Linked DNA regions of Nothobranchius furzeri. The protein of the gene in region 1 interacts with the protein of each later gene in a biochemical or structural test. Links are inferred from orthologs where the notes say so. Each region holds a gene or a part of one and is shown in the gene's direction. Other genes may lie near its edges.

Region 1 (3,500 bases):
AAAAGGTCAGAAGCTCACAGGATTAAATGTATGTTTGCCATTGTCTGAGCAGGTGTGTCGGTGGGTCCTGAAATACAAAACCTGTAAAAACCCCCTGATCCAGATGACCATCCTCAACCTGCTGCCTCGCTTAGCTGCATTCCAGCCGCATACGTTTACAGGTGGGTCTGTCTGGATCAACAGTTTCGCTTTGATGCATTAACCTAAAGTCATCTGCACATAATATGTTTATCTGAACTGACAGACCAGTACTTGTCCGACACTATGGGGTATCTGCTGGGCTGTCTGAAGAAGGAGAAGGAGAGGACGGCAGCTTTCCAGGCTTTGGGGCTTCTAGTGGTGGCTGTCAGGACGGAAATCCAGCCGTACCTCATGAAGATCCTTGAGATCATCAAGGCTGCGCTGCCACCCAAAGACTTTGCACACAAGTTAGTCACTAACACCGTGTCTATGATTTTTAGGTTCCATTATTTTATTTATCTACATTTTATTCATATTCAGATTCCCATTTTTGTTTCTGTGAGGGTACATTTTTGGATTATTAGTGATTTATTTTAAGCTCTGTTATTTATTGTATGTATTGAGTTTTTGGAGTGGAGTGTGTTGGTCACACTCTACATAAACACATTTCATGTATAACCCAATGTTATACTGACAGTCGGTCATGCTGAGTTTCACATGTATGTCTTCAACCATATTTCCTGTGTAAACTGCCAAAATTAAATAGACACAGAAACACTTGCGTCAGAAAAGCCACACAGATATACGTCGCTCTATAAAATTACATACAAGGACTCGACAACTTAGGTCGCGACCACGGAAAGCTGTTGAGTTTTGCAGCCAGGAGAGAGCAGAGTAAGTCTCAACTAGTAGAAGCTAACCGTTAGCATTAGCATCTCTAAAACAAGGTGGAATGTGCTTGTTTTACTTGCAGAGATAAAACCTCAACGTTTGCATTTTTACCCAAGAAAGATGAGGCAACGAAGGCAGCAGTAGAGGCTCGTTGTTGTTAGCCAATCAGAGGAAAGATGTTTGCATATCATGAATAATAATGAGTAAAACTCAAAATGTTGCCGTTTTCCACCTCTCCACTCCTCCCGCTAATTTATACTTCCTGAAACAGGAGCGTTGGGATTAGCTAATATAGGTTTAGAACAGTATAATAACCATGTTACTTTGATGTTTGTTATGTTTACAGGAGGCAGAAGACCATGCAGGTGGATGCCACAGTGTTTACCTGCATTAGCATGCTCTCTAGAGCCATGGGCCCCAGCATCCAGCCCGACATCAAGGAGCTCCTGGAACCAATGCTGGCAGTGGGCCTTAGGTAGGACAGGCTGACAGATTTTGACTTTTCAAAGGTGATGTGGTGTTCTCACGTATCTTTTTTCACGTCTTGGTCTAGTCCTGCTCTAACTGCAGTGCTTTACGACCTGAGCCGTCAAATCCCCCAGCTGAAAAAAGATATCCAGGATGGATTGCTGAAGATGCTTTCTTTGGTATTAATGCACAAGCCACTGAGACACCCAGGAATGCCCAAAGGCCTGGCTCACCAGCTCGCCTCGCCGAGCCTCACAAACATTCCAGAGGCCAGTGATGTTGGCAGCATCACCCTGGCCCTGCGCACGCTAGGAAGCTTTGAATTTGAAGGTAAGCACCTTTAAACACACTCTGCTAAGCTCTCATAGGCTCCAGTTTTTTTATAAAATTTCTGCTACAGAAGCCTCAGATCCACTTCTGGGTTTGGGACTGGGCGAGGCGGGTCATTGTGGACCAGTATGGGTCTGCAATTTCAGGAGAGCATTTCTATCACAGTTTGGGCTCTCATGTTGGCAGGCAGGGTTAAATCAACCCTCATGCGCGATTTCATAAATAACTTTTGAAACTATTCAGTATTTTTGTGCTGCAATAAATGTTCTGCAGAGCTAAAGTCAAAAAATCAAATGCTTACCAACGGGCTCCCCAAGTGCGGTCGCTGAGTCCCAGCCTGCCTCGCTGCCTCGGTTTGCCGGTCTGTGGCATCCAGCGCGTCGTAGCGTCTCTGTTGGGCTGAGCGAAATGTCCTGAAATCAATAACACGATATATTGAGGATTTCCCCTCGATAACGATAAATGGACAATTACTACAGGTATGCGCAGAAACTAAAGTTATCCACTAGATGGGGCTGTCACGTGTATTACGTTCAGCCACATTTGTACGTGACTCAATGTGGTACAGCTTCTTAAAGGGACATGAACGTTGCCAACCTACACAGCTTTTCATTTTTTTCACTATCAAATTTATTGACATGGGAAAATTAATCTCGATAAAAGTCAGAAATTTCGATAACGATGAATTTTCGATTTATTGCCCAGCCCTAATCTCTGTGTATTTCTCCCATTTCCACTCCGGCTGTTTCTGTTCCTAACTTTTCTACATTAAGCTTTAATTTCTTCAGCTTGGCCCGACACCGTTCCGACATTCACGCAAATCCTTCGGCTGCCATCCGCTGAGAAACCTGCAATCCTTACCGATCCACCTAGCTCTTCCATAGCGTAGACTCTCACGATGATGGAGAGGAATGTATGGAGCTCTCAAGCCGCTTGCTGGAATTTCTCACATTCGTGTACAACTAATGAAAATACAAATAACGAAACTCTGAGGTTTGTTTTGCTTGTTGCAAGTAGTGACACATTTTTGCTCTCCAATCAGTGGACTGTATTGTTGCTCCACATTAGCTGTACAAAATTCTGTGCCTACAGCAGAAGGAGGCAAATGTCCTGTGACTGGCGTGGTCTGGGTCATCGGGACAGTGAAACTAGCAAACCAACCCTCCCTGTTCCGTGCCAGTTTGGTGGTGGAACTGGGCTCAGAGAACCACACAGCAAAGCGCTGACGGTTGCTTTCTTCCTCGCTAACACAACGTTTAAACTTTATTCGCCAGGACACTCCCTGACCCAGTTTGTGCGCCACTGTGCCGATCACTTCCTGAACAGTGAACACAAAGAGATCCGAATGGAAGCTGCCCGGACCTGCTCACGTCTCCTCACGCCCTCCATCCATCTGATCAGTGGCCATGTGGTCAGTCAAACCGCTGTTCAGGTTGTTGCAGATGTGCTCAGCAAGCTGTTGGTCGTGGGCATCACCGATCCAGGTAAAGTTGTCAAGATTTTGGGATCGTACTGATCTCAGACTCACTCGCCTTCATGACTCGGGCTGAATGCCTGTCTTTGCCTGTTTTTAAGTCTTGTTTAAAGACCCACTTTTATGACTTGGCTTTTAGACAGTGTCTCATTTTATCGTTTTATTGTTTTTAGTGTTGTGTTTTATTTACTGTTCTTATTGATTTTACCTGCTAGTGACGCCTTGTTTAGCTCCTTATTGCTTTTGTCTTTCTCTGTTTTAATTGACCCTGCCTGTTCAGCACTTTGGTCAGCTCTCACGCTGTATTTTAAATTGTGCCATAGAAATAAAGTTGATACTATATGATATGATATGGTATGACTCAGTGGGGTCGTGG
Region 2 (4,251 bases), on another chromosome or scaffold:
GGAGGCCCAAAAGCCCCGGATGGCAGCCACCAAAGAGCTAGTGCAAAAGATTGTAGGTCGGTTTAAAAAGAGGAGATTCTTGTGTTGAATCTAATTTCTACACGTGGGTTTAGGATCGGTCAACAATAACCAAAAAATACATCAGGTTTATCCATTTAAATTGTGTTTAATTGTCTGATTAGAGTCAAAAGCTGGATCCAAAAGCAAAGGATGCAAGGGAGCAAAGAACGCTGCCACTGCAGCCAAGGTAGCTCTGATGAAACTGAAGCTGCATGCTGTAGGAGATAAAGGGCTGCCACAGGTGACAGATCAGCTTTCAATTTCTTGTTCTAGCATTGTTGTGTGTTGCATGTCATGAATCAAGCACACACATCTTACTCTCGTCTTGCATTCCTTCTGCTTTCCAGACAGAAAGAACCTATTTTCAGGTGTATCTTCCAAAGGAAGCCAAAGAGCGCAGCCAGCCCATGTTCTTTTCTTCCAAATGGAGTGTTGGGAAAGTGGTGGATCACGCAGCCTCTCTAGCCAGCCTGAAAAACAACAACAATGTACTGACAGCAAAGGTAAAAGACTGACTGACTTATTTAGTGGTGTGTATTTTATCTACTTACTCCATCAAAAATGCATCCTGTGATAACAAGGAAGTTTAAAATTTCTCGTGAGGAAAGACCTTAATGCATAACCAGCTCAGATATCAACCCAATTCATAGGGAAAATGTTAGTTCAAAACATTTTGCACAACTAACTCTTTACCTTAAGAAAACTCTTTACCTTTACTTTAAGAAAACAGTGGTAGTCTTATCATTTAAGACTGATGTAATTTTTTTTCAGTTTATGAAATCTTTTTTTTCTCTGCCTAAACTTAAAAATATTTAAAATTCCCTGTTTTTGCCAGTAATATGAGCCGATATTAAACTGCCGTAACCCTTTGTGCAGAAGCTGCGTCTCTGCCATCCCCAGACTGGTGAGGCTCTCAGGATGGATGACACCCTGCTCTCTCTGCTGTCTCACACAGAATCTCCCCTGCATAACGGGGGTAATGTGATCCTGGAGTACCTGGACAATGAGAGCTCAGGCCTGGAGGATGTTTCGGACTATTTCACACAGACGTGACCAATCAACATAATGGCTTTGTACATTTATGGATCAGTTCTGTTTATAGTTTTTTTTTTTGTCAAAATGCTTTATTGAAACTGGTTTTACATGCAAGACAAATTGACATAATGAATTGCCACATGACCGAAATGAAAATAAATAAATAAAAAAGATTTGTTTGATTATTCTGCAATGATTTTATTTTTTTTAAAAACACGGGCTAATTATATATATATATATAATGTTGTTTATTGTTTTTGCTGCTGAGGTTTCCAGTTACATCTCTCGTCTGGAGCGAAACGGTTCCAACCAATCACAGCTTCCATTTCTGACATTGACAGACTCGAGAAGCCAATCACAAGAGGACATTAAGAAAGTAGGCGGGAACGATAGCGAAGCAGTTGTACAAGAAAAGGGGTTGGGTCGTCCGTTAACAGTAGATCCCGTTGTTTTGACTTGTTCAGGTTGTCGACCGAAAGCAAAACCAAAGCTCCGCTGAAATTTAACTAGAATCGGTAGAAATTAGCCGCTTGTCCGATCGAGTCGCCGGGAAAAGGAGCGACTTGATCTGTCTAATATCGGTCGTTTGAAAAATCAGGTCGAAAGGGATGCCGCTGCAGCGAGACTCCGAGGAACGCCAACAGTCTTTGGATGTGATCTCGTCGCATTTAATCGGAAAGAGCAGTTTCTGTATAAACCTAAAAAGTCTCAGAATAACTCCATCTCGACCGAGTGCTTTTGAAACATACTCAAGCTCAAGTTCACATTAAAAAGGCTCCGCAGTTTCAGCAAAAAGCTACTAATAATCAGCAAGCTAACGGCTAACGGGCTAGCTAGTGAACAACAAAGCGCGGATCGTTAATCCTCGGTGACCTCTTCGCTGCAGAGGTCGACTAGCCAACCGTGCGGACGGCTGCTTGAGATTTTCAACCAGTTTCCTGCGTTTGCTGAAGAAAATTGTCAAGGTATGAGACGGCGTAAACCAGGAAGACTGGCTGCTAGTGGGGGAGGGGTAGTGGTTTTGGTTTTGGCCAGCGAAATCAATGTTTTGGTCAGAAACGTCCTCACGGGGCGCTGCTGCTAACGCTGCTTTTATCTTATTGTTTCGTTAATGTCGTTCAAATTACTTGTTCTGTTGGGTTAAAATAATTCCAGAGAAGCAGAGAAAATGAGTGCATCTAGTCCTGGTTATCGTTTTAACCATAAAGTTGTGTTTTGTTCCCCCAGACTGCCATGAAGCTGTTGGAAAACTCCAGTTTTGAAGCTCTCAGCTCTCGACTGTGCGTTGAAACTGGAGAGTCTCGCATCCTTGGCAGGTAAAAAATCCCTTCCACCTTATTTCAGCATTTTTAGGATTCTTCTTTTGATGGTGCATCAGTAAAGCCCATTTCGCAGGTATACTGCACAACAAAAAAGGCTATACGTTTTTTTTTATTTATTTATTTTTTATTTTATTTTTTTTCATTATAACTTTATTTAGCACATTTTGAACATACAATTGTAAGACATGGAACACATAAAGTATACCATTGTGGTATTACAACGAAGAATGACAGAAATGATGGAGACATGGAGAAAAAAGGAAAAATAAAAAAAGAAAGGTTTGGAAGAGGTCAAGTCAATCGAACAGTTTCAGATGGTTACAAATGTTAACAGACTTAAGAGCCTTGGTGTTTTTTGATGAGGAGATCGTCCTTATTGTTCAAGTTCCATTTTTAATACAAAGGCTATACGGTTTGTAGGGAAACGTTTGGCCTGCGTGACGTCATGGAACACTAAAGTGTTGCATACATCCTGCTGCTAACCAGGGTAGTGGAGCAAAGCGCCACTCAAGGGTTATGCAATATGATGATAGCAGTTTACAATCCCCAAGGCCTACTTTCAGAGCTTGCAGTTCTGCAAAGCCCTGCAGCTGCAGTTAGAGAGGGTGTTGTTGCATAAAGCCTGGTGGCCGGGTTGTGCGCTTATGCAGAGTTTGATGTGTGGGTGTTGAAACTGAAATATGTTGGTTGTGACGCAGATCTCACCAGACCCTGTGGTTATTTTGGAGACAAGTGTTAAAGCACACATTACATGATAACTGAGTGCTGCTGTTTAGACGATGGTTGTGCAAAAACCAGCTGTACAGGACAAGTGTAAATAAATAGCTATACCCTTTATAAATAAATTAGGATGTTGTCTAGAGAAGTGTGTGTGTGCGTTGTGTTGGAAATACCAGCATTGGTATTTCCACTCTGCTGTCCTCTGATGTTTTCTATAATTAGCCCGTGGGGTCTGGAGGGATTTCTCTGGCCAGCTTGTCCTGAGCTGCCTCATCTTGTGTAACCTCTGAGTGTGATGAGGCAAAATAAACACACACACTAGTCTGCTGCACTCAGATATCCATATCAGCGACGTCTGACCCAGATACCGAGAACTCTATCGGGGGCTCGCCTTGTGTTTGTGTAGATGAGACGTCTCAAATGATGTGCTCTATGTGCCACACTCCTGATTTGTGTATCTTTCCCCCCCCCCCCCCCATTACTAAACAGTGCAGCAGGTTGATAATCGATTCATAAATGGCTTAAATAGGCTTAATGTTGTGCTGTCTCTTCTGCAGGATCGAGAGCTACTCCTGTAAGATGGCAGGAGATGATAAACACATGTTCAAGCAATTCTGTCAGGAGGGTGAGCCACACGTCCTGGAGGCCCTTTCGCCCCCTCAGTCCACCAGCACCACCAGCCCTTCACAGTGAGTAACTTGGTCCGCTGCAGTGGTGCTCCATGACGGGCGAGTCTAGATGTTCTAAACGATGTGTTCCTGCAGGCTGGGGAAGAGCAGCGAGGACGGGGAGAACCCTCTAAGTGATAAAGTTTGCAGGAAGACCCTCTTCTACCTCATTACTACACTCAACGAGTCCTTCAGGCCGGACTACGACTTCAGCACTGCTCGGGCCCACGAGTTCAGCCGCGAGCCCAGCGTCAACTGGGTCAGCCTGGTGACCTTTTAGAGGTGATCGAGGAGCAAAAGCGGATGAGTGATGGTTGATCTTCTCCCCAGGTGGTGAATGCAGTAAACAGCAGCTTGTTCTCCGCCGTGGGGGAGGAGTTTAACTCTCTGGGACCGGAGCTGTGGAATGCCATCGATCAGGAGATCAATCTGCAGAGCTGTGACAT
Region 3 (3,500 bases), on another chromosome or scaffold:
TGTAGTATTTTAACCAGAGTGCATCATAGAATAATGAAAATGCAGAAAAAATGTGTCCAGATGTTTGCTAAATTCAGCCTTTGTGTCATAGATAACAAGAATGAGCACCACTGTAACTGCAAACGTGTTAAAGGGAACAACCTGTTTGTTGTTGATCATAAAATCACAAAACTGTTGCACTTATCATTTTGGGAAAACAAAACAAACTCCTGAGTAAGCAGCGGAGATTCTAAAATGCAACTTTTTTTTCCTCATCTTTCATCACTTAACTGTTTTTTGTTTCCTGTTTTGTCAAATCAGGAGAATACATCAAAACCTGGAGGCCAAGGTATTTTCTCCTCAAGAGTGACGGTACATTTATCGGATACAAAGAGCGACCACAAGATGTTGACCAGCTGGAAACCCCCTTAAATAACTTCTCTGTAGCACGTGAGTGTCTGCTCCAAAGAAACCCCCTCTTCTCTGTGTCTTGGCAGCTTGTTCTACCCTCCAGTTTGATGCTTTTCTTCTTTTTACTTGCTTTGTTGTTAGAAGTACTTTCACATACTTGTTCTCAGATGTGTCCTGTTTGTAAAATATAGTTTAAACCCTTTGTATTCTGGGGGAAACTGTGTCTAAAAGCCTAATAATATCCTTACTGAAAGGGAATCGAGAGTAAAAAGACTATTGATTTTGGTTTGCTTTCGTGGCGAGCCCTCCTAGATGTCCTGAATGCATTTCCTCAAACTGTCACAATAAATCCGTTATCGACGCTAATGTATAAATACTACATCTAGGACAAAATACTCAGTGTTTTGCACCTTTTTTCTAAGAGTCTGTTCAGCTGATAAGGTTTTTTTTTCCCCTGCTCATCATTGCCACATTGAGTGCATAACTAGTGTTTTTAAAGTGTGGTTTCAGTTTAGCTATTTGTTAACCTCAGGAACTCTAAACACAGGATGCACAAAGCCACTTGGAGAATGCAGCAGATTGTAGCTTACCCAGGGCTTTCCAGGATTCCCTGGATTCTTTTCTGGATTTCAAAAGGAATGCACAATGATTACATAACTTCAAGTTCAAAATGTATATTTTTTGTGTGCATCAGTCCTCAATAAACTTAAAAACAGCCAATTTGCTGCATTGAGTCTAAATTGATTTAGAAAGCCAAGAGTTTGGGTTACATTTTGAAATCATGGTATTGAGGATGTTTACGTGGAAACTGGACTTGATAACATCATGTGATAGTTAAGGCTTTCACACGATGTGGTAAAAATGAATCTATTTAAATACACTGAAGTAACATGTTTATATTGTCCCAGAGTTAAGGGAATTGGTTTTAAAGAGATGCATAAAAAAGTTAGCTGATGGCCTAAAATCAGAGAAAAGTAACGCATTGCCAGTTGTTTAATTGGGGTATGTAATTCAAATGAAACTTTCTGTGCTGCTAGTTGGTTCTGTACTACCTGTAAACACTCAAAACATGGAAAACAGCTTTCCATCTGTTTTGGTCACTTTTTGGTTTAGGAATTGTATGCATAAAACAAGTTGATTCAAAAAGTCTCCGTTTGTGACATCACAATTGCAGGAATTAGCATAGAACCACCACTCACCTGTCTGTTGTCATGCTCGGAATTTTAGTTTTTAGAATTTCCTTGGCCCCATTTGATGCTTCAGTCAACAATATACTGTGCCGTAAAATTTCCAAGCTACACAAGTGAGAGTAGGGGGTGGCACATCTGACCTATTGGCCAGGAGTTGAAGCGTTTGCCCTTCACCTATTGCATCAAATAGGATGTCGCTCAGAGGTTTGAAGCTGATATGAGGCTGCCGAAGAGATGCATCTGAAGGAAATTTTAGTGTTTCCAGCCATATATTATGTTGGGTGACTTGTTGACGAGTCTATGGAGTGCTTTTATTGGACCCTTGTGCCTGCTCTGTCTTCTCGATCCCCAGTGAGTCGTGGAGGATGGCTGCTTATACTGAGCCAGGATTCTCTGGAGGTTTCTTCCTGTTAAAAGGGAGTTTTCCTCTCCACTGTTGCTGCATGCTTGCTTAGTATGAGGATTGCATCAAGTCACTGACACTAGTCGGTGACTTGATGCAATTTGCTGGGTTCCTTTATATAGGAAACTTTTTTCTGATTGGCTTAATGAACTGACCTGGATCGGAATGTTTATTATATGAAGTGCCTTGAGACGACTCGTCGTGATTTGGCGCTATATAAATAAACTTGAATTGAATTGCATTAAAGAGCATTTTTGTTCAAGATGGTTCTATTCCGTCAGTGATACGAGCCTTCGGACGATGAGTTAGACATTATTTTAATTCTAGAGTAGCTTGACGAAAGCATTTACTGTGTCTGCAGTTATTGTTATGTTATATCCTTGATTGGCATACATGACTGGAATCACAAGCATCCTGGCTTTCTAATGAGGTACATATGTGTGTGTGTGCATTAGGGTTGTCACGATACTAAAATTTCAAACTTGATTCGATACTTGAAAAATAACTCGATGCTCGATTTCGATACTATTTAAAAACACCAATTTATTGAGCAAGTTTATTCGAAAAATAACATTCCTCAATTTATATTGCAAAAATTAAATGTTAAGAATTAAGTGTATTAAGTGCTTAAACCTTTCAAGTATCAGCATTTTTTAAAACGTGCATACAAAAACTGGTGAAAGTTAACACTTTAAATCATGAATTGTCTCACTATGAATACACTATTTGCAGAGTGATGTTTTGCTGCTTAAACTCTGTTTAAGGTGCATTTTTGTCATAAGATGTAATGCCATATGTTTTGTTCTGTACTTTTGAACAACTCTGTTGGCCAATAAAGGGAGAAAAGGAATTTCTCCACAGTAGGACAAAGGTACATCTACCGGTAATCTTAATAAAAACAGACTGGCGCACGGCAGTGACGTCATTAAAAGCGCCGGTTAATTAGCCGCAGCTAGTCTGTTCACGCCTAGAAATCCCAGACCCGCTCCAAACGAACAGGGGAATCATGTTAATGATTTCTAACAAAACCTTTCGACATTGAGATGTGTTTTGGTGCAGATAATGTCTTATTTCGAGGCTGCACCATGGGTGCCCGTCCGCACCCGTTATATGGATATACACTGATGGCGATTCGCTGATGGATCTAAATACCCCGGGGAATCCAAGTAGCACCAAAGTTGTCAGCGTGAGTAAACAAACGTACTGCATGCTAGAAATTAAGTCTGGGTTGCAATAAACGGGAGTTTTCCTTTAAGCACATAAGCGTGAATATACAACTACGTGTCGGACTTGGTATGCTAATTAAGTTGGGCTGTGAAGCGCCTCCCAAATTCACTGTTTATGTTTTTGTTTATTTATTTGGCAGACAAAACTTGGATCGGAGACAACTCGCGTGGGAAATTGCAATGTAGCCATGCGGCGTCTTCTTCTGTTTGTCTGGGAGGCGGAGGCTGCTTTACGGCATCTGGCTGTCGTGCGTGTCGGTGTACTTGAAGAAGGCTGTGTATAATAGTCCA
Region 4 (4,290 bases), on another chromosome or scaffold:
AGCACAGCCCACAGCCAGCTCTTCTGAAGGCAGAGTGAGTCCTGGATCTGAAAAAGCATCTGAAAATTACATTGGAGAAACACATGTGCCACAACCGGTGCTTTTGGTGTGTGGACCTGTTACATAGTTCTAAATAATAACAATATGGAGTTACTGTGTTGAGTAGTTATATTACGTAAATATCAATCCTACTTTTTGGAAATAATAAGCAGTTTGTGCATACAAGAGAATTAAAGAGAATTTAAGGCGAAGCGCTTGCACATACTGTGTTATTGTGTTGTTTTTTGCGGGGGTGGGGGTGGGGTGGGGGGGGGGTGGGCAGGCACCACGAAGTCTTTGTGCTTAGGGCACCAAAATAGCAAGCAACGGCCCTGTCTACAACTATCCCGCAGCATTTCCTTCCTTTGCAGTTCAGCAGAGAGTCGTCGTATATCCTCTTTAAAGAGCAAGTCACTCCAAATCAACATTTTTTTGCTGATAAACTACATAAATGCATGTCTGATCGTGCTGCAGACATGTGTAGTCAATAATTCGGCACCTTAGTGCATTTTAGTTAAAATTTAAATATTCTGCCTAAAATGTCAGTGTTGCACCGTCGTCAGGTAAAAAGTCAGCACTGCATTTGAATTTAAATCTGCCGTCGCTATTGGCTAAGAGGTACACTATGATGTTAGATGGTACATTATGATGTCACAATGTCGTGAGTGTGTGTATTTGTTAGCGGCTCCACCCTCTCTGTCTGCTAGGCAACAGCATTTGTTGCATTTTTCAAACAGGAAGTGGGAGTTGAGTAAGAATCTGGTACGGGGTGACTTGCTCTTTAAGGTTCTCAATCCTTTTATTCGCTTCAGAAGGCATAAAGGCGTCATTGTGGGGCAGAAGGAGAGGGAAGACACACATTCAAATAGCTTCAAGGCAACAGCGAGAACGTCCTAGCTGAACTGCCTCTGACAGATCCAAAAGATTTTTAGTCCAAATAAAAGTCCAAGAAATCAAAAAATCCCCAAAATCATAAAACTATCAAAGGTCCAACAAAATCCACTATATCCAGCAATCAGTGACAGGAAAGAAGAGGTTTTTAGAGGAACTGGAGCAGAAAAGTAGGGAGCTGAAGCAAACTCGTTCTCTGAGTCTTGTGTCTGGTCCTTACTGGTTCTCACTGTGGATAGGAAAGATCTGTGACTGAAGACATTCATCAGGACTGGGTTAGGGCTCACCATCCTGTTGGAGCTGAGACCTACTTCATGGGTACAGATCCATATGAAGATCTACCCACGACCCTGACCTTTGAACTAGAATATATCAGGATGCCTTTATGTATAATGATAGTATTTTACTGCTCTTTGGAGGAAATACTGGCATTTTTTTCATTTAAATCAATGTAAACGGGATTAAAAATGACAGAAAGCTGCATGTTTCGTTTTTACTTGATTCTGAAGTGCACACCTGGGTCCAGCAGGAGGCAGCAGGTTCCTGACGGGGCGGAGCCTGCTCTGGGATTAAAGCTCCCAGAATGCACTGCGGCCGGCTGATTGTAAACAACTCATGAAGGAGACGAACGGATGATCGGTGAGTTCCGTAGCTGGCCGATCACTTTAATTGATCCGTTACTAAATGATCAGTGACGTTGGTTGTTCGGATGAGTTCTGGTTATGCTTCCGGTGACTGTCAGATTAAAAGCGGGTCTAATTGTGGACCCACAGGAAACACGTTACAATAAAATTTGTCGTCTTAACAAATGACCATGTTTGTCTTTACCTAAATGCAAAGGTCCAGCTTTAGGGACCCAGACTGCCGCCAAGCCAGCCTCCCGTTCGGAAACGGTCGTCAACCCAGCACCTCTTCGATTTTTACGTGCGCAACTACATCATCCATTACGGTACCTTCGTTCAAGAGTGCCTTTCAAAATTAAAGGGCACTTCCGGGATGTGGGCCTGAACATGCTGATGAACGGATTTCAAAGTTTTTGTTTGTGTTAAAATTGTGTGTAAAATAAAACTGCGTTTTAAATAATATGTCTATTTTAAAAAACTTTAAATTAAAAACAATAAACACATTTGTCTGCTTTGCAAATTTTATCCCATTTTTATATCTTTGGTACGTTCTTGCTGTGTTTGACTTCTAATTCCATTTTTGGTTCTTTTTTTAAAACACAGAAAAGGTTTCGCTTTACCTTGCTGACGGTTTCGTTTGCGGCTGCAAACATCCTCAGAGCTGACGCTGATGGTGGCGTCACTTCCTACTCCGTTTATCCACGGGCAGCAGAGGACGTTGTCGCCCTCTGCTGCCCGCTCTCCCCTCTCCGATGATGCAGTCCCATGCACGATCCAATGTGTAAACTCCATCGTCTCTGTTCATAGTCTCGCATCCATGGATGCGGACTATGAAGTAATGAGACAGCGGGATGTGTTTACAAAATCTCATGCAAACGCTGCAATAAAACATACATAGGAGAAACCGGACGCCAACTCAAAACATGAACAATAGAACATAGAAAGGAGTGCGAGAAAGAAACAAGTTGAAGGCACACGAGCAGCAAAACAAGAAGCAGAAAGCACAATAAAGAAGTCAACCGTAACAGATCACTGCACAAGAGAAAACCATATAATGGACTGGGACAACACAAGGACCACAAACACCGATCAACAGAAATACAAAAGATGGATAAAGGAAGCTATAGCGATAAGAAGACATAGAGGCGGGACTATGAACAGAGACAATAGAGTTTACACATTGGATCGTGCATGGGACTGCATGGACTGCATCATCGGAGAAGGGAGAGCGGGCAGCAGAGGGTGACAACGTCCTCTGCTGCCCGCGGATAAACGGAGAAGGAAGTGACGCCACCATCAGCGTCAGCTCTGAGGATGTTTGCAGCCGCAAACGAAACGTTAGCAAGGTAAAGAGAAACCTTATCTGTTATAAAAAAAGAACCAAAAATGGAATTAAATCTTATCCCTTCCCTCCCTTTCATCCTGATTTGATAGGGCATTTCAAAGTAATATCAAAGTTGACAATAATGCCCATTTTCACTATATTCAATATCTATATATGGGTTTCTTTCTCAAAAACTGTCTGATTTCATAACACCATTCCACTTCAGTGGTAAAATACACATCGACTACTACATTAATAAGGATCTGATGTGGCATTTCAAAATAAACCGATCAAAGCTGACAATAAAGACAATTCTCACTATATTCAATGGTTAATTTCTCAAAAACTGTCTGAATCCTCAACATCATTCCACCACAGTGTTGGAGTAGTATCCAATGTGGAATTTAGAAACAAACCATTTTCAAACCTAATATCTCATCTATTTAGTCCATAGTTATTTACCTCTTCTTACAAAAACTGATGGTCAGTCTCAAGAAAGCCCATCTTTGCTATCCCAATTGAAGTATTATTCTCAAAAACAAGTCAATACAAGTAATTTGTGAATGTGAATTTAAAAAAGGGAAATTTATAATAACTTACAGTATACAATTAAGTTTCACTTTCTCAGAGATAAAAAATATATAACTTTTTTACTTAGCTTAAGATCTCACTGTTTTTAAATAACAAAACAAGTAGTCGATGTGTACTCTAACAATGAGGTGGAATGATGTTGCAGAATCAGACAGTTTTTGAAAAAGAAACCATTGAATATTGTGAAAATTGTCTTCATTGTCAAATTTGATTGAACTTTATTTTGAAATGCCACATCAGATCACGATGAAAGGGAGTGGAGTTATAAGAGTTGCAAAGTAGACAAACGTCTTTATTGTTACATTATTTGTATGAAATGCACTTCATAAATAGTTTGATTGATTGATTGTTGGGTTAGGATTGGGAATTGAAAGTATTTTTAAAAGATTATATCATTTAAAATGCAGTTTTATCTTACACACAATTTAACACACACTTTGAAATCCGTTCATCAGCATGTTCAGACACAAATCCTGGGAGTGCGCTTTTAATTTGAAAGGCACTTTTGAACAGGGCACCGTAATGCCTTATGTAGGTGCGCCCGTAAAAATCGAAGGAGGGTTGGCTTGGCACTTGTTCAGCAGTGTACTCAGACCCATTCTCGGACCATCACCCTAGATGTGCTAGAGGTGCGTGTTTTAGTTTTACCTCTGCTTCAACACACCTGATTTCAGTCAGCAGGTGATTAACTGCAGAGCCGGATGAGCTGCTGCACAGGTGAATCAAGTGTGTTGGAGCAGAGAAACCACTAAAACATGCTGGATACCAGCCCTCACACCTCCAACAAGTTATCAAAATAAAAAAGAGCAGAATTTATATTTC
Region 5 (4,039 bases), on another chromosome or scaffold:
TTTAAAGGGATACTTTGCAACATTTTAATATTTTTATATCATTTTCTTGAGCCAGTATGTACTAAAATGACACTTTACATGGTTAATGAAAGGTCACCCAACCCCTATCGCCCCTGAGACCAGAATATTCCACTTGCAACTTCACAGTTGCAGGTCCGGTCTGTTGGGGCTTTTTGAGCTGACCTACCTGCCGTTGCTATCTGGCTTCAGTACATTTCCTGCCTGTTTTAGATCATGAACACAGCGGATGAGTTTAATTTAGTGATGATTCACTCCTCTAGACACTTGGGAACGCTGGGAGATGTTTCAGCTGTTAGATTCGGGTATTAAAAAGGCGAACGCACACCGAGGAGAGTTTTGGTTTCGCTTCTACAAACTGACACTAGGGGGTGCTTAAATCAAGCTAAACTGCCTAGTATCCCTTTAATGATTATTTCTGATTATAATCGGTCACTCTGATGTTTTCATGCAGGATGAACATGAAAATAGTCTTCTACTCCATCTCCTGCATAAGTTTCTGGTAACAGACGGTGAAACTCTAGGATTTGAAAATCCTGACTGATCCACGTCACAGTGTCATTTAACATTCATGGACTCGCCCATCTTGACTTACGATGGGGATGTTGTAGATTTAATGTCCGAGAATCAGTAGAAGACATCTATCTCAACTAGTAGAAGCTAATTATTAGCACGATCAACTTCACATTGAAGAAGCTCCTCCAGGCCTGTGTTGTTTGTAGAGATAAACATCCACATGCAAGTGGTAGAGGCACGTTGCTGTAAGCCAATCCAAGGCCAGATGTCCAAATATCAGGAAATAAGACTAAAACCTGCGCCTGAAGCTCAGCTGTGATTTGGGTAACTTCTAGTTCCTAGAAATGGTGCACAGGTATCCCCTCTTGTATATATGTACAACCAATTTTGTGTTTTTAAACCTCTGTCAAATGAAAACTATTATATTTTAGCATCTAATCATAAACTAAAAGAAGGCGCTTAACATTTTTCACTGCCTGTGGTCAGCTGAATGACCTATGAAAGTCTGTAAGAATGTAAGAAATTACCAAGCTAATCTTGTGCCGTCTTAGAATGAGAATTAAAACATCCAGAGAAAGCAAATAGAAACACATCCACTTGTTGTATACTCAGAAATGATTTTTTTGTGCTTTTATTTGTAACAGTTTCTGTTCTTGAGACAATAAAACAAGTTCCCGCCCCTTTGTTGTGAGCGCCGCAGTGCGCATGCTCACTATAGTAGCCGGTTATGGTGGCCGTGCATGTTTGTCCATGAGGTGGGGGACGCCTGCTGTTCCTGCAGTCTGTGACAGAGCGATTCGAGCGACTCGCTGCCATGGCTGGAGTGTTTGACATTGATTTGGACCAGCCGGAGGAGAATGTCTCCGATGATGAGAACGAGGAGGTACTTTTACGGAAGCTGTCACGGCAGAAACTCTTGACACACGGTAGCTAGCTAGCTAGCATGGTAGCTTGGCAGGAGCCACCGCAGGCCTGTTCCTGCGTGCAGCCAGAACGGTCGGGCCTCCGCACAGCAAAGTGAGAGTTACCCTTAATCGTGACAGAATTGCCTTTTCTTCTGTGTTTCTTTGGTAACAAACACGACTCCGCGATAAGCTGTTGACGCTGTCACGTTTTTAATCCATCGCTGTCATGCTGGAGTTGTGAAAACCATCCTTACTTGGCCAAAGGTGCTGCGGTGATAAATGCGGCTCCGGGTGCAACAGTTTATTTTGGCAAGATGTGACAGAGTGGGACTGTGTGGGCTGAGAGGCTGGCTGCCCGTTTGCTTCTGTTCAAACAGTGATAGAAAAGGCAGAGCTACCGCAGAGTCACGGAGCATAGATGGCGCTGGTTCAAGGCATGTTTTTGTACATCTGCATGTCCCAAACAGGACAAAACCCTCACTACATAGAGAAGTCGGTTCAGCAAACACATTAAATGTTCCCTTTTGCTGATTAGTCTTTGATTCCTGGTGATTTTACTTAGTAATGTGAATATATTTGGACAAAAAAGTGAAACAATGCAGATATTTTCTGTATAAAAAGCTAAAAATATTCCAAGTCGCTAATTAAAAGCAAATCATTTTGAACTGAAATAATTTTAGTTTTGTTTAAGTAGCGTAGACCTACAAGGTGTAGGTGTACACACAAAAAAGCAGTCCATGCAAATTACAATCTAATAATACATTTATTATAAGTGACTTTATCACAATATGTTTATAAAATTGGCATTTTCTTGAACTTAATGTTTTAAATTTTAAATTAAATTCAACTCTAAATAAAATTAAATTTGAGCAACCAATGTTTTATTTGAAGGCTGCAGAGTCACCAGAGGATATTTATCTTTTTGAGATAAATACTTTCTCAGTTGTTGAGTTATATAAATAGTAATGATAAACAAAAAAGTCAATTAAAGGTCCAAACGTTAACACAAAATATCCGAAATAAGACTTATTGGGATTCTTGTTTAGAAAATAATGTAAAATATCATGATCCTGAATTATTTCTCCCCCTGCCAGATTGAAATCAGTGACATTATGGAGCAGTGCGCTGGATTTGAGTTGTAAGTTTTTTTGAACATTTTACAACCAAACAAAGTTAAAAAACGAGACTCAGCGCTGCACCCTGAACCTTATTTCCGCTGCAGCGACATGGACGGCTGTGAGAAGATTGAGATCTCCGAGGACAACGTCAACCAGGGGGCGGAGAACATCAGACCGGAGTGCTTTGAGCTGCTGCGGGTTCTCGGGAAAGGTGGTTATGGAAAGGTAGGACAAAAACTCAACACGTAGTACTCCTGGGAAAGATGTGGGTGGATTTTTTTTGCCTTGGTCACCTGACCAGGGGTTTTCTTGATTACGATTATTCGAAACATGCCTTTCATTTCTTGTCGTTCAGGTTTTCCAAGTTCGCAAAGTTGTCGGAGCTGCATCGGGCAAGATATTTGCCATGAAAGTTTTAAAAAAGGTATTTAAAAGTCACGTTGGATTTTTGTTGTTGGAAACCAGCGTTTGTCAGTTTGTGTCATATGATCATTTTACATACTTTAAAAAAATCCTGACATTCCTGCTGCTGCTGAAGCCGGCGGTAGGGTTAGGCTTCACGGTTAGCTGATAGATCGCTATCTGCACCTCTCTGCTGCCGCCTCGGCTCTTTCAGCTCCAGCCCAACATCTGAAGCCACGTTGGCCCGATTAACTCACAGGATCTGCTGAAATTATATATATGAATGTAAAATATAAAGGTGTCTGTAAAAAAATCAGACTTGTATTTATGGAGAATCTCAGTTTCTGAAGCCAGCTTTAAGATGTGTTTCTTCTTAGAGAAACGACGTTCATCATCCATGGGATTATTCTGTGGTTCCAGAGCTGCGGGAATCAGAGGCTTTCACTTCTCTAAACACTCCGTTCTGAGACCTTTTTATTGTTGACAGACATCTAGTCAGCTGTCTGATCGAAGTGTTTAGTAAACAGAAATACGATCAACAGCGGTGCTGAAAGCTGAAGAGGCAGAATATTCTGGGCAGGCGCTGAAACTTTTCTAGATTAGAAGAGGATTGTCAGGTTTAAAGCTGTCGCAGGCCACAAAAATGTGATTTATTCATTTTAAAAAGGCAGTAATCATTTAAAGGTTGTTTGTACTCGGATAAGTCCAAAATAGGCATAATGGTAATAATTTGAATACAAGAATATTTGAAAATGTTACGGGACTGCAACAGCCTGCCGGAGAGAGAAACCCCGTCGTTAGAGAAAAGCATTTGGGTTGCAGCACATATGCCTGCACTAAAATAGAAATGTCGATTAAACTCCACCTTCACCGTTGTGTCTGGCTTGTTGAGCTATAACAAATAAAATATACAACAATAAAAAAACTTGTTTCTCAGTTCAGGTAATAAATTCTAAACAAATAGAAAACACAGAAGACTTTTCATTTCTAAGAGTTTAGCTAAAGATCTTCCAGGGCAGCAGTCCGTGTGTTCCTATGAACTAATGTTTTTTTTTAATCTCTACTTTGGTGTTGATCGCC
Region 6 (3,500 bases), on another chromosome or scaffold:
CTGATAAAAACATGGCGCCAGCTGAGTCGACGCTGAAAGATACATTTAAAAAATGGCAGCAAAAATGACCGCTAAATGCCAAGATAACAGTATTTATTGCACTGGATGACTGTGGTTGCAGATGTTGTGTTTTGCGGTCTCCACAAGTCGTGGTATGAGCTGCTTTGTTGACCCAACTTTACAGACGCAGCTGTACTGGTGTTTTGTAGAAAAGAGTGAGCATGCTGCTGGCGTCACATGCCATATCTGCCCTGTCGCAGGAATGCGAATCCCTCAAAACAGCTGCAAACCTATTTGAAATACAAGCTACAAGGCCACTGTTAAATATATCATTAGTGTATGAACACGTTTCTTATCAATGGGCTTCCTGAACAGGTGATGTTTTCTGGCAGATAAACTAAGAAAATAACAAATACAGAAAGAAAGAAATGTGGAGAAAATAAATAAATGTGTTCAGTATTATTTTAATGCGTTGTTGAAGTAATGGTATCGATCAATACTCAAAATCAAGTGACTCGGATCGAGAGCAAAAATATGTGATTGGAACTAGGGCTGAAACGATTCCTCGAGTACCTCAAATTAGGGCTGCTCAATTAATCGAATTTTAATCACGATTACAATCTGAGTTTTGAACGATTATAAAAAACAAAACAAGCCGATTATTTGCTCCTCCCGCTTGCGCTGCCCTGAGTTGCAAATGAAGCGCTACAGTGTTGCCAACTTAGCGACTTTGACGCTATTTCTAGCAGCTTTTCAGACCCCCTTCTTGACTTTTTAACTTAAAAGTACCTTGCGAACACCTTAGAAACATCTCTGGTAACCCTTAGCTACTTTCTGGATAACTGTCGTCGACATTTCCTGCAGGTTAGATAAACACTCCGCCTGCGCTCCGGACCGTTCTTCAGGACATTAGGAAATGGAATGCCGTAGTGATGTGTCAGTCGCTAAAGACAGCTCTCGGAGCCGGCTCCTTGTTGGAGTAACCAGAGTGAGTGACACACACACCGTACCTGCGGACTCCCGAGCCACTAAAAACGGCTAAATGTGCACGTGCGGCGTGCTAAACACATGTGCAGCTTTCCCCTGATTGCTGTGAGACCGGGTTGGGGGGTGGGGGTGCAGCTGTGTTTGGGACAATTATTACATTAACTGATGGACGACTTGTAAATAAATAGTTTATAAATAAGGTAGAAATAAGTTCCTCACGCTGATAAATAATAACTAATCTCTCTGAGGACACGGTGCTAGTGCACTCTCCTACAGCACCTTGACACAACTCAATAAATGTTATGAAGCATTTTGTGAACATCAATTTATTTGCATTTATTTGTTATAAATGCCACTGTATAATTCTTGATGTCAGTATTTGCAAGATATTGGTATTTGGGTCTGTACTGGTTAGACTTACACGAGTTAAACCAAGGTCTATAGCCCTTGGGTCATAGACTATGAGCTGTAAGTATATTGGTCTTTTTATACTGGGAATCAGAAGTTATTTTAGTGATCATCTTGTTTCTTATTTATTTTTGTCCTGATTGTGCCCTGAGCAATTTTATGACTGAATAAAAACAAATAAAATCAACATAAATTGAAAAATCGTCCTAAATAATCGTGATCTCATTTTCAGTCACCATAATCGTGATTATTATTTTTGCCATAATCGAGCAGCCCTACCTCAAATAATTCGAGTACAAAAAATCCTCGAGTCAAATTCTGTGCCTCGAGGCTTCGTTTAGTTCATGTTTAATTAATTTAGGGCTTTGCAATTGCCCGGGGTCATGTTTCACCCGGACCGAATTAAGTGACGCACATACACACTGCACTGAATGCACACGCGAGTAGCGAACGCAACTTAACTTTCTTTTAAGCCATGGCGGACAACGTGGACCCCGGTGGAGTGCGAAAAAGACACAAAATGTCAAAGGTGTGGGACCATTTTTCACGTCGTAAGGCGGAAAACGTACTCCAGTGTAAATACTGTAAAATGGATTTAGCCTACCACAACACCACATTGCTCAATGCTGCAACCTGACCAGCAAACATCCACATGTAAATGTCACTTCTGCAAGCGGACTCGGAGCCTCTACAAGATAATGCATTTTAGCCTGTATTTCTATATATTCTGCAGACACTGTGCGACTTTTTCATTTGTAGCACTCAGTTTCAGCTCACACCGTACATCTGGTAGCAACACGTCGGTCTTAAAATTTGCTAAAAATAGCAGTTTTTACAACACGTCTGACTTTTTACTGTGTTGTTATTGATGTCCGTTGTCCCTCAGGATTGCTGCAGGAGGACACGGGTATTTATGAGTGGTGGAGGAAAACGAAAGAAAGTAAATAAATGTTTTATGATCAGTATAATTTGACATAACCACGGCAACATGCTTTCGACAATCCTTGTTAGTGTGAGACAAAAAAAGTGTAGAAATTAAAACGAACGTGTGTTAATAGGGAAACAGCTGGCGAGCCATGTTTGCGCATGCACCGTTAGCGGTTCTGGTGCTGTTTGGGCCGCAGCCGCTCGCATTTGTTTACTGTGAAGTAAAGTTGAAGTGCTGAAGTTTTGAAAACTAATTTTGAATAAAACTTGAAGAATAACTGGCAATTGCTTTCTCATTTCAAGAGGTCTTTCATATTTTATAACATGCTATTTGATATAAGGGTTTAAAAACGCAAAAGGGTAATTTATTAGAGTACTCGATTAATCGATAAAAGATTCGATAGAGTACTCGATTACAAAAATATTCGACAGCTGCAGCCCTAATTGGAGCATCCTTATTAGACACACCACTTAACATTTACTTGTCACATCACTCCTGGCGAGCTGAGGGATGTAACACCTTGTCAGCATCTGTATTAATTAAACGTTAGTCGCAGTAATGCTAACCACAGAATGTGTTGAATTATTGCACTCCCTTTTAGCAGTGGTGCCCCCAGAAAAGTTTCATAGCGGGTGGCCATGGGGCCGGAGAAGATTTTGGGTTGGCTAAATTGATCCTCGTGGTAACTCTGGGAAAGTTTAGCCTGTAGTATTGCAATAAATGCTCCTTTATTCATGTTCGTAACAAAACATAAATTCATTTATTGTGTAAACTATAATATGACTTATTAAAGAACACTGGGTCCCTGGGTGTGGCCAGCAATTTTGTAGGGGTGGCCATGGCCACCCCTGGCCACTCCTTGGGGGCGCCACTGTCTTCTAGGTTTTTGATGTTGTCAGATTCATAGCAGTAGTTTGCAAAACAGGTCACGTGTTCTGACATTTAGTTTGTATGTTAAAAAGCTTTCGGTAAGTTGTAAACAAAGTGCTCTTGTTGTTGGGAGGAGTACGTGTAAGTCATTATAACATTGGTGATTTTCTTTAAGGGCTTACGCTGCTAACAAGGAGTCACATGCCACATTGGTGTTCCACAACCTCTTGGGGGAAATAGACCAGCAGTATAGCCGCTTCCTGCAGGAGAACAATGTCCTCTATCAGCACAACCTGCGCAGGATCAA
Region 7 (4,104 bases), on another chromosome or scaffold:
CCAGTGAGACGAGGAGCCCTGCAATGGACTGCTGAAACATGCACCAAGTTCATGCAAAAATGTTAACTCTTGCAAAAACTAGAGAACACATGTATATTCCTTTAGAATGGATTGAAGACATTATTAATAGCATATTACTCGATACTAAGGAATGCAACTGCGCACATGCACAAAAAGTTTTTAATATAAAAATGGCTATATATATGAAACATACAAATATATATATTTACTTAGAATGCTATGCACCCCTGTCAACTGGGATTCCTGTTATGTTATGGATGTCCTTTTTGCATCATACAGCTGTAGCTACTAAGAGACTTTTAAGTTTGGGTAATGCCTGCAACCTGGGGATAAATAGGGGTTTTGTGGGTGTTTTAACTTATTTTGTTTGCTTTTTTATTGTCATGGAGAGTCAAACATAAAATATACATGTGAAAACCTTTTAATCCAATCAAAATCTGAGGGCATCTGTTGACAATTTACTCTGTACACCAGCTCAACATTTACAAAAATTAATAAAGAAATGAAACATCTTTGCGTATTGCGTGTAATTTTTTTCATGTCTTTAAATGACGTTTCTTGACTTTGAAGTGTGTTTTTTCCTGACTGACACAGTGAGTAGATCTTCGCTCGTTTAACCATCCTGCCAGGAGATGCATCAAGCTTTGGGGGAAGTCTGTTATAGACGTGCTGCAAAAAAGAAACATGAATTCAAAGAAATTCATGAAATCTGAATCTGATTTAAAAGCTTCTCTTTGTGTTATTAAAACTTGTGAAGTTATAGATCTAACATCTCAGAGCTAGGAATGTGGTCAGAATAAATAAAACAATTATGTAAGGGCTTTTAAAAGCAAATTGTATTGAAAATACATTAAAATGCCGAAGAAACACACACACACACACACACCTGAATAAATTCAATAATTATATTTGAGCAGAAGATGACAGCAGGATTTACTTACTGATTTTGCTCCTTTTAAATAAATCATCTGTCAACTTGACATGATTTAAAATCATTTCGGAGGCGGACTAGAATAAGGCAATCTTCTTGTTGAAAGCATAATAACGCAATATAACGTTCCTTAAAAGGTGAAAATCTGGAACAGTGTCTGCAGATTTTGTATTTAAGAAAATTTTCAAATAGAATGAGGTGAAAATAAATACATAGTTTTTTAAAAATAATAATAATAATTATTATTATTATTTTAATCTCTGTAGCCTAGTATGCACCAGTAGATGGCGGAATAAATTCGTTTAGTTTGCACCGAACAGCGTTCTCCCTACAGGGCTGCAGCAGCCTGTCTGTATGCCTTGATGGTCTGCCTGCGTATGTCTGTGTGTTGTTTTGTGTGCATGTGGAAACAGAGAAACGGGTGCTGCTGAGGTCCTTTTTCACCAAACATCCTCGACCCGTTTTGAGTGAGAGCGCGTGTGTTAATGTGGCTAACTTTAATCGCCATAGTTTGCACTCATGAAATCTAGATATTTATTTTTATTCATCAGAAGGCGACCGTTCTGCTGCTGAGCCAAATCTAACACTCCTCTGGCTTTGTTCTGTCAAACCCAGACGTTCTTCTTGTTTCATGTCATCCAGTTAGTTACTTTTAATTTTTTAGTTGAGAGAAGATGTCCACAGACTTTCAGAAGACAAATGCCAAGGCCATCCCGTCCACCAGGACAGTGGCCGTCAACGAAGCGGACCACATGCCACACGACTACTCCACTACTCCCGGGGGGACCCTTTTTAGCACCACACCGGGCGGTACGTTGTGTGTTTTTAACTCCACATTAACGTTTGTGTGCTTGGTCAAAAGGTCAGTGGCACGAGACCTGAATCCATTTAACAGCAGCGTTGTTGCGTGTGTTCATGCTAACTCCATGAGGTCGGCTTGGCTGCTGTCATCTGATAGCTAGCTATACTGAAGCTAACCGCTAACGCTAACTAGCGATCATTGAAAAAACAGAATAGTGAAAAACTAAAAAGTGGCTTTGAGGCATATGACCAATGTCGTTTTGTAAATGTAATTTTGCAACACAATAACTAATTTTCAATTAAGTGAAAATCGTTTTTAGGGTTTTACTTTGACTTCTGTACATCTTGTCACTGGGATCTGAGTCACGTGATCAAATCGGTGCTCTTGAGTTTATTGGCGGTGACCTAACCAGTTTAAAAGCCCATTACGACCACCTACTGGACTGGAATTTGGGATCAGATGCAGCAAAAGAAAAAAATCCAGTGGTGGGCCTAGAAAAACATGTACGGGGTGGCAGAAGGGGGCAAAATTTTGAGGATGGTAAAATGGAGCATAAATTACTATACTCTTTGGGCACACAAAAGCTTTTGAACTAAACTATCCATTAAAAATGTGTCTGTGAATTCCTATGCACTGAGCTGTACCAAGGTCAGCATAGATGCACTATATGGAAAGAAATAATAATAACAATAATGGATTGGATTTATACAGTGCTTTTCTTGGAACTCAAAGCGCATTCCATTAAAGTCCCATTAGTCATCATCACACGCTGGTGAAATGACATCTCCGTATTTGACCCATCCTCATGGGGAACGGTGAGCTGTAGCAGTGGCTGCACTCGGGAACTATTTGGTGGTTAAAGATGAGTGTCTAGCAGGGAGGCATTGGGTCCCATTTTTAACTCATTCACTGCCAATAGTCGTCATTGGAATTTTTTTACTGTGTGGGCATTGGAACGAGTCCCCGCGCCGAGAAGCAAACGTCTCAGCTCTGAAGCTGATCTTCATCCGCATACGTCACAGGTCACATGACCAGGAAGCAGAAAATCCATGTGTTAGGAGATCGGTTTGGGTTGTTCCTTTAAAAAAAAAAACATGAGGCGCGAACCGGAAAAGCGTCTGCCGATCACAATTCGACAACGAATTATGAAAGAATGGATAACGCTTGAAACACGCGGATTCTTCCTGATCTAAGAGGTGAGTCTCCTCTTTGTTTTGGTTGTTTTGGCGTCGACATCATCCTAGCGCGCAACGTTCTGTGACTCTTAAAAAACAGTAAAAATGGCGAGAAATGCTGGCAGTGAAGGTCTTCAGCGATCAGGAAATGGCTGGCAGTGAATGAGTTAAAGTCTTTGGGATAACCCGATGAACCACGATCTCCCAGTTCCAGTGCGGACACTCTTACCACTAGGCCACTCAGAAGGTTATATTGTTCACACTCTCACGTTCACACTGCCGGGGATGGTAAGCTACGATGTAGCCACAGCCACTCTGGAGTGGGCTGGCATTTTGTGCCACCACCAACACAATGTTTCACTGCAACAAGGTACTAAACTTTAGTTTTATTATTCACTCAAACACATTTCTTTCCCTGTTAATTCATCAGTATTTACATAACCATATATGTTTTTTTTATTTCAGGTCATTATTTTATCAGCTTGTGTCATGATCGGTGTAATCGGACATGCTACTTTCACATTCATAATGTCTGATTTGCCACAACTATTTCATGAATTATTGCTGCCTTCTTCTGAGGTGGCAAAACTTTCCTTTAGGGAGGCAGTTGCCACCCCAGTAGATCAGCCCCTGAATAAATCCAACAAAACTAGATTTTTTTTTAAATCTGACAGATTGTTTATTTTAAGAGTTTAATGAGGTCAGAGCTGTTACTGCTTTGCCAAAGAGGCTTCATTGTTTAACTGACATTGTGATTAAAACTAGGGATGCACCGATACCTCTTTTTTCCAAACCGATACGATACCGATACTTGGATCTGGGTACTTGCCGCTGCCGATTACTGATACCGATACTTCCACCACACAAAAAAATGCAATGATATGGAATACAGATTTTATTTTCTTCTCTGCTTTCAACAGGAAAAGACTGTGAGGTAAATAAAAAGTAAAATATATGAATGGAAATCATCACAAAACTAAAATATTAGGTGAACAGAAATGACAAGTTACAGTGAAGCCATTTTCAAGCAACTGCATTGGTATCGGTTCCTGGTATCGGTTAACTTTCACTGATACCGATACTGGTATCGGTACCGATGCCAGTATCGGTATCGGTGCATCCCTAATTAAAACAGACCTGTTATTTATTTATTTCAGATTTACGTTAATAACACA

Evidence for each region.
Region 2: of the proteins of mtor (region 1) and maf1b, one has a biochemical effect on the other in vitro, tested with the Homo sapiens proteins (2 studies listed by BioGRID and IntAct). The link is inferred for Nothobranchius furzeri from reciprocal best matches to the Homo sapiens genes MTOR and MAF1.
Region 3: of the proteins of mtor (region 1) and akt1, one has a biochemical effect on the other in vitro, tested with the Homo sapiens proteins (19 studies listed by BioGRID and IntAct, with this or other methods). The link is inferred for Nothobranchius furzeri from reciprocal best matches to the Homo sapiens genes MTOR and AKT1.
Region 4: of the proteins of mtor (region 1) and prkn, one has a biochemical effect on the other in vitro, tested with the Homo sapiens proteins (2 studies listed by BioGRID). The link is inferred for Nothobranchius furzeri from reciprocal best matches to the Homo sapiens genes MTOR and PRKN.
Region 5: of the proteins of mtor (region 1) and rps6kb1b, one has a biochemical effect on the other in vitro, tested with the Homo sapiens proteins (18 studies listed by BioGRID and IntAct, with this or other methods). The link is inferred for Nothobranchius furzeri from reciprocal best matches to the Homo sapiens genes MTOR and RPS6KB1.
Region 6: the proteins of mtor (region 1) and stat3 form a complex in vitro, tested with the Homo sapiens proteins (2 studies listed by BioGRID, with this or other methods). The link is inferred for Nothobranchius furzeri from reciprocal best matches to the Homo sapiens genes MTOR and STAT3.
Region 7: of the proteins of mtor (region 1) and eukaryotic translation initiation factor 4E-binding protein 1, one has a biochemical effect on the other in vitro, tested with the Homo sapiens proteins (29 studies listed by BioGRID and IntAct, with this or other methods). The link is inferred for Nothobranchius furzeri from reciprocal best matches to the Homo sapiens genes MTOR and EIF4EBP1.

The regions. Positions count from the first base shown.
Region 1 is NC_091755.1:52,502,060-52,505,559, reverse strand, and holds part of mtor (serine/threonine-protein kinase mTOR), read left to right. Parts: intron 1-52; coding exon 53-161; intron 162-244; coding exon 245-428; intron 429-1,198; coding exon 1,199-1,327; intron 1,328-1,405; coding exon 1,406-1,650; intron 1,651-2,924; coding exon 2,925-3,134; intron 3,135-3,500. UniProt on the Homo sapiens protein: Serine/threonine protein kinase which is a central regulator of cellular metabolism, growth and survival in response to hormones, growth factors, nutrients, energy and stress signals.
Region 2 is NC_091747.1:46,933,900-46,938,150, reverse strand, and holds the start of maf1b (MAF1 homolog, negative regulator of RNA polymerase III b), read left to right. Parts: upstream 1-1,451; 5' UTR 1,452-2,060; intron 2,061-2,322; 5' UTR 2,323-2,328; coding exon 2,329-2,411; intron 2,412-3,694; coding exon 3,695-3,826; intron 3,827-3,901; coding exon 3,902-4,064; intron 4,065-4,135; coding exon 4,136-4,251. Other genes in the region: zfand1 (AN1-type zinc finger protein 1), read left to right, coding at 1-56, 183-301, 408-563, 937-1,113. UniProt on the Homo sapiens protein: Plays a role in the repression of RNA polymerase III-mediated transcription in response to changing nutritional, environmental and cellular stress conditions to balance the production of highly abundant tRNAs, 5S rRNA, and other small non-coding RNAs with cell growth and maintenance.
Region 3 is NC_091758.1:33,917,168-33,920,667, reverse strand, and holds part of akt1 (RAC-alpha serine/threonine-protein kinase), read left to right. Parts: intron 1-300; coding exon 301-429; intron 430-3,500. UniProt on the Homo sapiens protein: AKT1 is one of 3 closely related serine/threonine-protein kinases (AKT1, AKT2 and AKT3) called the AKT kinase, and which regulate many processes including metabolism, proliferation, cell survival, growth and angiogenesis.
Region 4 is NC_091752.1:62,524,971-62,529,260, forward strand, and holds the start of prkn (E3 ubiquitin-protein ligase parkin), read left to right. Parts: upstream 1-1,490; 5' UTR 1,491-1,562; coding exon 1,563-1,569; intron 1,570-4,290. UniProt on the Homo sapiens protein: Functions within a multiprotein E3 ubiquitin ligase complex, catalyzing the covalent attachment of ubiquitin moieties onto substrate proteins. Substrates include SYT11 and VDAC1.
Region 5 is NC_091753.1:29,214,564-29,218,602, forward strand, and holds the start of rps6kb1b (ribosomal protein S6 kinase beta-1), read left to right. Parts: upstream 1-1,239; 5' UTR 1,240-1,348; coding exon 1,349-1,417; intron 1,418-2,533; coding exon 2,534-2,577; intron 2,578-2,661; coding exon 2,662-2,782; intron 2,783-2,912; coding exon 2,913-2,981; intron 2,982-4,039. UniProt on the Homo sapiens protein: Serine/threonine-protein kinase that acts downstream of mTOR signaling in response to growth factors and nutrients to promote cell proliferation, cell growth and cell cycle progression.
Region 6 is NC_091745.1:6,835,032-6,838,531, reverse strand, and holds part of stat3 (signal transducer and activator of transcription 3), read left to right. Parts: intron 1-3,368; coding exon 3,369-3,500. UniProt on the Homo sapiens protein: Signal transducer and transcription activator that mediates cellular responses to interleukins, KITLG/SCF, LEP and other growth factors. Once activated, recruits coactivators, such as NCOA1 or MED1, to the promoter region of the target gene.
Region 7 is NC_091757.1:46,259,649-46,263,752, reverse strand, and holds the start of eukaryotic translation initiation factor 4E-binding protein 1, read left to right. Parts: upstream 1-1,304; 5' UTR 1,305-1,626; coding exon 1,627-1,762; intron 1,763-4,104. UniProt on the Homo sapiens protein: Repressor of translation initiation that regulates EIF4E activity by preventing its assembly into the eIF4F complex: hypophosphorylated form competes with EIF4G1/EIF4G3 and strongly binds to EIF4E, leading to repress translation.